2 linked regions of the Danio rerio genome follow. The protein of the gene in region 1 interacts with the protein of each later gene in a pairwise test. Links are inferred from orthologs where the notes say so. Each region holds a gene or a part of one and is shown on either strand. Other genes may lie near its edges.

Region 1 (4,119 bases):
AGATAGGTTTCTTTATATAACAGCTTAACCACTTAAACAGCAGCACTCTATTGAATTCATCACATCCACAACACACAATCTATAGCTTACAGTTTGAAGAAGGTTGTCCCCAGCTGAAGTAGCAGAACATGAGGGAGTCTGTGCTCGTGCACGATCAGAACACCCTCCACAGTCCGCCGCATCCCGATTTTCTCAAATTCTTCCCGCATCCGCTGAAAGCGTGCGGCTACCGAGCTGTCCTTCTCATAGAGCGGCTCCTTGGTGCCGAATGTGTAATTTGTAAGAGGGTATCTTTGGAAAAACAAACATGTTATTTCATTTAAATTGAGGTGTGATAAAGCTTTAATAATCCACACACTGCAAAACAAAACATAGCATCATAACAAAATAATGAGGGAAAAAAGATGGCAAGCACTGTATGTGGCCGCTAGTAGTAGGGCTGCACAATATATCGTTTCAGCATTGATATCGCAATGTGAACATTCGCAATAGTCAAATCACGAGTATATGCAATGTTGAGTCTGGGTTATAATTTACAATATTTCAAGTGTTTTTGAGGCCTGTGATTGTGTGAGGGTTTTAACAGCATGTGTACAGCTTTTAACTAAAAAATAATAATGATGAATTTGCTTGTTTTATTTTACAATTAATCATTTACTGTACACCTAAATGCAGTTTGACTCCTCAAAAACAATAAAACACTGTTTATGTAATTTGTATTTTTCTTTATTGAATTTTTCTATGCTTGTTTCTTATTTTTTTATGCATGCACTCTTCTACAAAATCATCCCAATCAATCTAAAATTTCTAATTCTTTCCAAATAGGCTTGTAAAATTGTATTTATATTGCAATTTATGTCACAGAACAAAAACATATCCCAATGTTAGATTTTTCAAATACAGTGCAGCCCTAGCCGCTAGTCATGTAAATTTCCATAAAGCTTCAAAACCTTTAAGAATCTTGTTTTCAAATAAGTGGTTGCATATCAAGGGGTCACAAAAAGTCACAATTTATGTAATGGAGGATGCATTTCATCATAATTATTTCAAAAAGTTATTAAAATCCAATGGTTCATGTATCTGTGCGTCTGAATTATGCCAGATTCCCAACTGTATTTATCAAAGCTTGTGATTGGTTTGTTACTGTATATTATTGCAAAATCACTCCCTTAATAAATCACCTAAATTATGAATTCTTTTTGAATAGACCTACTCATTTCATCTAGTAAAATTATCGCAATGTACATCGCAGAGGATTAAAATATCACTTGGTAATTTCTCCCTAATATTGTGCTGCTCTAATTTTGACCAGAAGGCATTACCAATCTGTGGTATTTTGAATGTTTAAAGGTTTTGTGAAGTGCTTTGAAATGGGCATTTATATTCCATGTTTGAGGTAATCTCAACTGAAACATAATGAAATGGTGGCAGTTCCTCCCCTTTAGAAAATAAAAACAGAGAATAGCGTTTTGTTTTTATCACAAACAATCTCTGCCAATGAGAGTGTTTGAGCTTAAGGCATCAAATGAATAGCAAATGAGAACCATCTTGGCAGGGGGTGGGGTTTATGCTCACATACTAGAGAGCATTTGATTGGTCAAGATTTGGTGAGTAAGTAAAACATGAAGTGACCTATGAATAATCATAGATTAGGCGGAAGTGACAAACTGCGGGCTTTAGATGTGTATATATCTTATAACGCAAATTGAGTCACTGTTTGAGCACACTAGCTTATAGATATCCTCAAAACTAACATCTAAAAAGCTTTATTTTTACTTTTTATTTTATTTCACAGGTCCTACCTTTAAAAGAGCAATCATTTATTAATTTTATACAAAGTGTAATTTGGATCTTGTGCTCGCCTATTATGGGCGTTTCATTCCATTGTGTTTTCATACAGCTTTTTGTACAAATTAAAAATAATACTCCCAAATAAGGGTTTCAATATCAAATTTGAATTTACATTAAAGATCATTCATATTAATATTTGATTAACATTGGCATAAGGTTAGCGTTATTAACAAAATCAACAATTATAATAACAATTCTACCGTCACTCAATATAATCAATGATTGGGATTTGTTTACGTAACTTGCTCAAGAATTCGACTGTTTGATTTCTAAGTCATACTTAACGTTACACCAAAATAATAACAAATAACACCATAAACCACAAATAATCAAATAACATTTCAATAACATTGCGCCTGTCGACTAATGTTAGTGATATTTTCGAATAAATGTGCAAAGAGCCCTAGGATAAATCACCGAGAACAATGCTAACTGCAACATATGGAATACAAAACTAATAAGAACTATATCGAACTCTTATATTTCAATATCCCTGCATATGTACACACTGCCATAAATGTGCATGCATTTTGCCACATAAAAAACAAAACTCTGAATATTTCACTGTATTGTTACGCATGCAAACAAGAGCTGGCAGCAAGAAGCTACGGTAGTCTGCCATGGTCAAACGCTAACAATGCTAACGTACTGACATGAAAGGCACAATGCAGCAGCACTAGGATTTACAACCATTAAAGCTTGTTTAAGTAATCGCATATATCGTTTGTAGTGTTGAATTTTAAGTTCAAGTTACTCACAGGTTGATTGTTCTCTCCAGGGTGAGGGGTTTAGTCGCCTGGGTAATGTATTTATTGCCGAACTGATTTACTCCTCGAGGCCAACCGGTAGATGATCGATTAGGAGGTACAACTGACATCGTATGACGGATTATTAAATCACTTCCTAATATTTGCACTAATCGCGTTTTTTTCCACGTTGATTACTTTATTACTGTGATTGAATTGCACAGCCTTGGCGCTCGATGAAAACTGGAATACGGCGCTCTGCTGTGAAAGCACATCCGGGACATTGGGTTACTTCCTGTGTTACGACCGTGTGTTTCGGCTCTTCAGATTTTTCTCATCTGATCTATGAGCAAGAGTTGTTTTCCACATTATAAGTAGTGGGTTTGAACAGTCCAGACACGATTCAAACCCTTACCCTTCAAACAGAGGGTTTGTGGTTGTTTATTACACTTTTCTGCCTGCTACAAGGCGTGTTTTGGTGTCTGTTAACCTGACATCACAAACACAAGAATACCACAGAAATGTCCAAACTAGATTATTAAACCATGTATTAATCAGAAAAAGACAGTAACAATTAAACCACTTATATAGCCTGTAATAGTTATTTAGGGAATTTTACCATTTAATGTTTGCAAGATTGCTTTGTGTATACGTAGCCTAATTTTTGCTTTAATGTAAACAGAACAGTTTTTTTAATACTTTATACGGACCTTTGGTGTTTTTAAAACATCATCAGTCGGTGCTATTCCCACATATCAAAAAATATCTGGCCCACATAATCAGCTTTTGCTTGGCCCACTTGCGGCAGTAAATTATGGTATATGAGTGGACCAATTCTGGCTTTTAGACAAGGACCAAACATGGACAATATCTGGGCCAAGTCTCAGACAAGTTAATAACCCATAACTGAGCCTAAACTTCACCAGATATGTTTTTGTATCCCGTCTGCAATGAAATTGATATACTCAGGGATCATTGCGCTTTAGGCATGCTATGGGCTTGCTTTTTCTCGAAGCGATGATTGGTACTTGGTAGAATTTTTTTCTTTATTTGAAAATAATAAAAATGTATTTTAAATGTGGGTCAAGATAAGCCTAACGTTCATGGCTCATATATCAATTGTTAACATCTGGCCCGAGTAGGCCTATTGTGTGCCGTCTTAAAGACGGTGCCACCTCTGCCAAACCAGGGCCATGTTTGGCCTACATGCTGTATGCCAGTGCCAGACAAATGCCTGCCCTGCCAGATATATGCCATATCTGGGTCAGAATTCTTTTCTACCTGTGTTGGAGGCACAACAAGTTAGCCTACACTGAATCACTTGCATATTTTGCTAAACATGTGATCAATTATTGCCATTCTTTAAGCCAGGAATGTCAAACTCAGTTCCTGGAGGGCCGCAACCTTGCACAGTTTAGCTTCAACCCTGCTTCGATATACTTACCTGAAACCTGAAGGACTCAATTAGTTTAATCAGGTTTGTTTAATTAGGGTTAAGCTAAACTGTGCAGAGCTGTGGTCC
Region 2 (4,253 bases), on another chromosome or scaffold:
GCCTTCATTCTATAACGCTTTCAAAATCTTGCATTCATCTCAGATCAAACCCAAGTTTCTGGATGGTTACAACAAAAACAAGTTTATGGATATTTGGTGTGGGGAAAGCTGTAGGCAATGAGTAAATCATGCATTACAAATGTAATAGTATTAAAACTCACTGCAATCGATAGAGTATGTACTTAATAAAACATTGCTAATGGTTTTTAAATGGGGTTCTGAAGTATTTGACATTTACAGTACTGACCATCAAGCATCCCAATTGAATAATTCAGAAATCAACTGCTGAGTAATGGGTTGGGCTGTTTAACAAGATTTAAAATCTGAAGCGAAAATTGTTGTGAAAAGTGTTGCTGAGATGCACAGATGTACTGCTTTCATTGGAAAACCCAGTCAGATAGTTTAATGCAGCTAATTCAATATGAACTTGCTTAAGCTGTAGTAAAATCAGTAGCATATATGACAACATGCCTGAAAAACATCAGTCTTAGCTGCATGATTACTCGCATCATATTATAAAAAATATGAAGAGATGAAGACAACCCCTTCAGGCTATTTCTTTTAATAATTTGTATTTTAGGCTTTCCCAGAGAGAGCACTCTTCACTTTCAGAATCTGTTTTAGGGTTGTTTAGAAGAAGGTGCTACTCAATGTCAGCTTGCACATCATTAAATGTATAGTAACAGATGATGGGTGATGTTTACCTGGAGCGTCTCCACCTGCAGGAGCAGCAGCACCAGCAGCGGCAGCAGGAGCAGCTCCACCTCCTGCTCCAACATTACAGATCAGACTGCCGATGTCCACGCTGGCCAGAGCCTGAACACAAGACACATCCCATCAGACTCGAAACAATTAAGCTGCTGTACAGCGCGAGGGCTTAATTCAAGAGCAATTCTCTGCACAGCAGTTTTTAACAGTCACATGTATATAGAAACGTTTAGGATGATTCAATTCATAGTTTATATTTGTTTGCATGCCTATTTGGTTAACAATTTCATATTTTAACATGCATTAAACATGCATAAAATCTGAGTCTTGAATCATACCATCAAGATGCTCTACAGCAGGGGTGTCCAAACTCGGTGCTGGAGGGCCTGCAGAGTTTAGCCCCAACTTCCTTCAACACACCTGCCTGGATGTTTCTAGTATACCTAGAAAGAGCTTGATAAGCTTGTTCAGGTGTGTTTAATTGGGGTTGGAACTAAAATGTGCAGGACACCAGCCATCCAAGACTGAGTTCGAGCACCCCTGCACTACAGCATGAGGACTTAATGATGGAAGGCATTCACATTTATCTCTCCATCATCCTCCTGTCAGATGTGAAATAAACTTGCCTTAGCGAAGAGACCAGGCCAGAAGGGTTCGATGGTCACACCGGCAGCCTTGATCAGAGCGTTCAGCTTGTCCTCCTGAAAAACACATTCAGAGAGAGTTCATATCAGTGCATCAACTCATTTAATGCAAATACTGTGCAAGACAATAGCAGCGATCAGATCAAAGCAGCAAAATTATTTGTAAGGTTATGGTTTTTGAGATGCTACAATAATATTTGTAGGTCATTACGCCCCCGAACATGCTTTAAATTCACCTCTAATAGTCTCATTCACTTGTTGGTGAAAGTTTTGATTGTGATGTTTGTTATTAGAATATACACTGAGTTATTAAAACAACATCAGAAAAATAATTAATTGGCTAAGTGCAAATCATGCAGCGTATAATTAGACCATTTCAATGTGGTTATGTCATTGGCCCGTGAACATTTCCTGCTTATCAAACCATTTCATAACTGTAACAGGCAGGTCAATCATAACTTAATGTTAAAGCAGCTATCATAACTATCAATTTTGAGTTCTTGAAAGCTATACAAATTTAAAATGCAAAACTGAAAACATGTTGGAACCTTATTTTTTTGTTTACATACCTCAAAATGGTCTACATGTTTTATCTTGATAGACTACTTGGACATGGACTATAACTATTTTTTATGCATTGTAAAGAATTGAAGTACTTGATTATGGTCTTATTCAGCAAATAACAAGATATAAATCTCAACGAATAAGCTACATTGGTGCAGTTATTCAACTAAAAACTGTCAATAAAAAAAAAACCTGTAAACAATCTCCACAACTAAGATGAATGAACTACACACGTACTTTTCACAACATCATTAATTGAGTCTTGCTTTAAGGTGTAAAAAGAATAAACTTTTAAAAGACAGTCTAAAGCTTAAATATTTACACTTTTTTACATGACCATGATAACTAATGCATGCTTATTTAGGAAATACTGTATTAATGAATACCAGCACATGTCAACTGACCAACTTATCTAGTCTTTAGCCTACTAGCTAAAGTGCTAATGTGTCATTAGCATGATACAGGGATGCTAACTTACCAGGTGCTGATAGCTAGTACGTTCAGTTATGCGTGTTTACAGCCACAATGTGAACATTTATCTGAAGTATTTAAGCCGTACAGGATAACGACAGGAAGCGCGCGAAAATGTGCTATAACGTGCTTACTGCTATTCACACAAACACAGCGACTTAACTATCTAATAACACACCAAACATGTGATGTAATTGAACTAGCAAACGCAGAAATACTAAATTAGCACAAAAATCAGGGTAGCATGCGAGAACCGTAGCGGTTGAGTCCCGGATGTTCACGTTTCGCCGGTTAGGAGCTCAACACTCACCGTGACGGTAACTTCATCGTCGTGGAGGATCAGAGCGGAGTAAATACAGGCGAGTTCGGACACAGATGCCATCGTTCTTTCGGTAGGTTAAGTTTTTTGGTGCGGATGGGCAAATTTGACGGTGCTAGTCGCCGGATTGAAGGCCTTAGCTTCGGGAGAAGAACCGAGCACCTCAAATGCTGCGATCTCAGTAAACGGAAAGGGCCGGAAAAGGGTGGAGCGAAGACTTATATAGACTTGTGCGTCACTTCAGTGGGCGAGACAAGTGAAGAAAACAAAAGCTGTGATTGGTTCGTTTGTGATGTCAGTTATTCGCTGTGTATATGTGCTCACGACAGCGCTGACTAGTGAATGAATTAATGAATAAATGAGTATATAAATATATAAATTTAAAATCATATTTAAAATCGTTTACGTGACTGTACTCGGTATTTTATTAGACTTTTGCTTTACTTTGTAATATTAGTGAGGAGCCTTTTAATCTATGGTACTTGTACCGAAGTATAGAATACCAGTAATATTAAGTAGCTATCTATTTTATTATTTATTTATATATCAAATTCCATGATACTGTAAAATTCCCATACTTCGTTTAAGTTATTTACATGGTACTGTAACGAACCGAACTGTCTTAAACCTTTAGTATTATGCTACAGTACTTTTGTCTTATAGAAGTTTTGTAATTCTGAATGTAATTAATTGTGTAGACACATGCCTGGTGATTTTGTATGCACTAAGAGTTCACTTCATGCCCAATAAATAAATAAAACAAAAATGAATGACTATTAAAGCATATATATATATATATATATGTATATATATATATAAAACGACTGTAATAATAAATATAAAATAAATAATATCAGCGACTGTATAATAAATATAAAATAAATAATATCAGCGACTGTATAATAAATATAAAATAAATAATATCAATCACCGTAATAAAAATATAAAAGAAAATGTAAAAAATATCAGAAACTGTAATGAAGCCTTTTAAAATGAATTAAATCAGCGATTGTAATGTCATATAAAATGAACCAGAAACTGTAATAAAGCATATAAAATATAATAATCTAGACAGCCTGTGTAATAAAGTCTCTTTAATTGAGCAGTTTAATCACAGAAACACTTAATGGAATGAACCAAAAACAAACAAACAGACACATCATCGTCATCATCATCATCCTCTCTGAACACACAAACAACAGTCATGTTACTCAAATTAATCCAACAAAAAAGCCATAATCAGTCCGAACCTCTGCTCGTTTGGCACCCTTGAGATATGCTCTTAATTCAAAACACTATCTGAGACTGAATGGAAAAGCCCCATCCAAATACATTCTGTAAAAATGAAACCAATCTCTCCAGCTTCCGGAGCTGTGTGTGTGTGTCTCAGTCCAATAACCAGTGTCATTTCTCCGGTTAGCAGAGCAAAACTGAGCTTAAATAGACAAACGCAGCATCTGTCCTCGGTTTTAGATGATGATGATGTCAATCTTCATGTGATTTTCCTTTGGGTTTTTCATCGTAGGAGACGCCGTACTCGTTCACAC

Evidence for each region.
Region 2: the proteins of nudt21 (region 1) and rplp1 interact in a two-hybrid assay, tested with the Homo sapiens proteins (2 studies listed by BioGRID and IntAct). The link is inferred for Danio rerio from reciprocal best matches to the Homo sapiens genes NUDT21 and RPLP1.

What each region holds. Positions count from the first base shown.
Region 1 is NC_133193.1:24,124,101-24,128,219, forward strand, and holds the start of nudt21 (cleavage and polyadenylation specificity factor subunit 5), read right to left. Parts: upstream 2,855-4,119; 5' UTR 2,729-2,854; coding exon 2,610-2,728; intron 292-2,609; coding exon 91-291; intron 1-90. UniProt on the Homo sapiens protein: Component of the cleavage factor Im (CFIm) complex that functions as an activator of the pre-mRNA 3'-end cleavage and polyadenylation processing required for the maturation of pre-mRNA into functional mRNAs.
Region 2 is NC_133194.1:2,213,913-2,218,165, forward strand, and holds the start of rplp1 (large ribosomal subunit protein P1), read right to left. Parts: upstream 2,888-4,253; 5' UTR 2,770-2,887; coding exon 2,698-2,769; intron 1,410-2,697; coding exon 1,335-1,409; intron 817-1,334; coding exon 705-816; intron 1-704. Other genes in the region: lipid scramblase CLPTM1L, read right to left, coding at 4,192-4,253. UniProt on the Homo sapiens protein: Plays an important role in the elongation step of protein synthesis.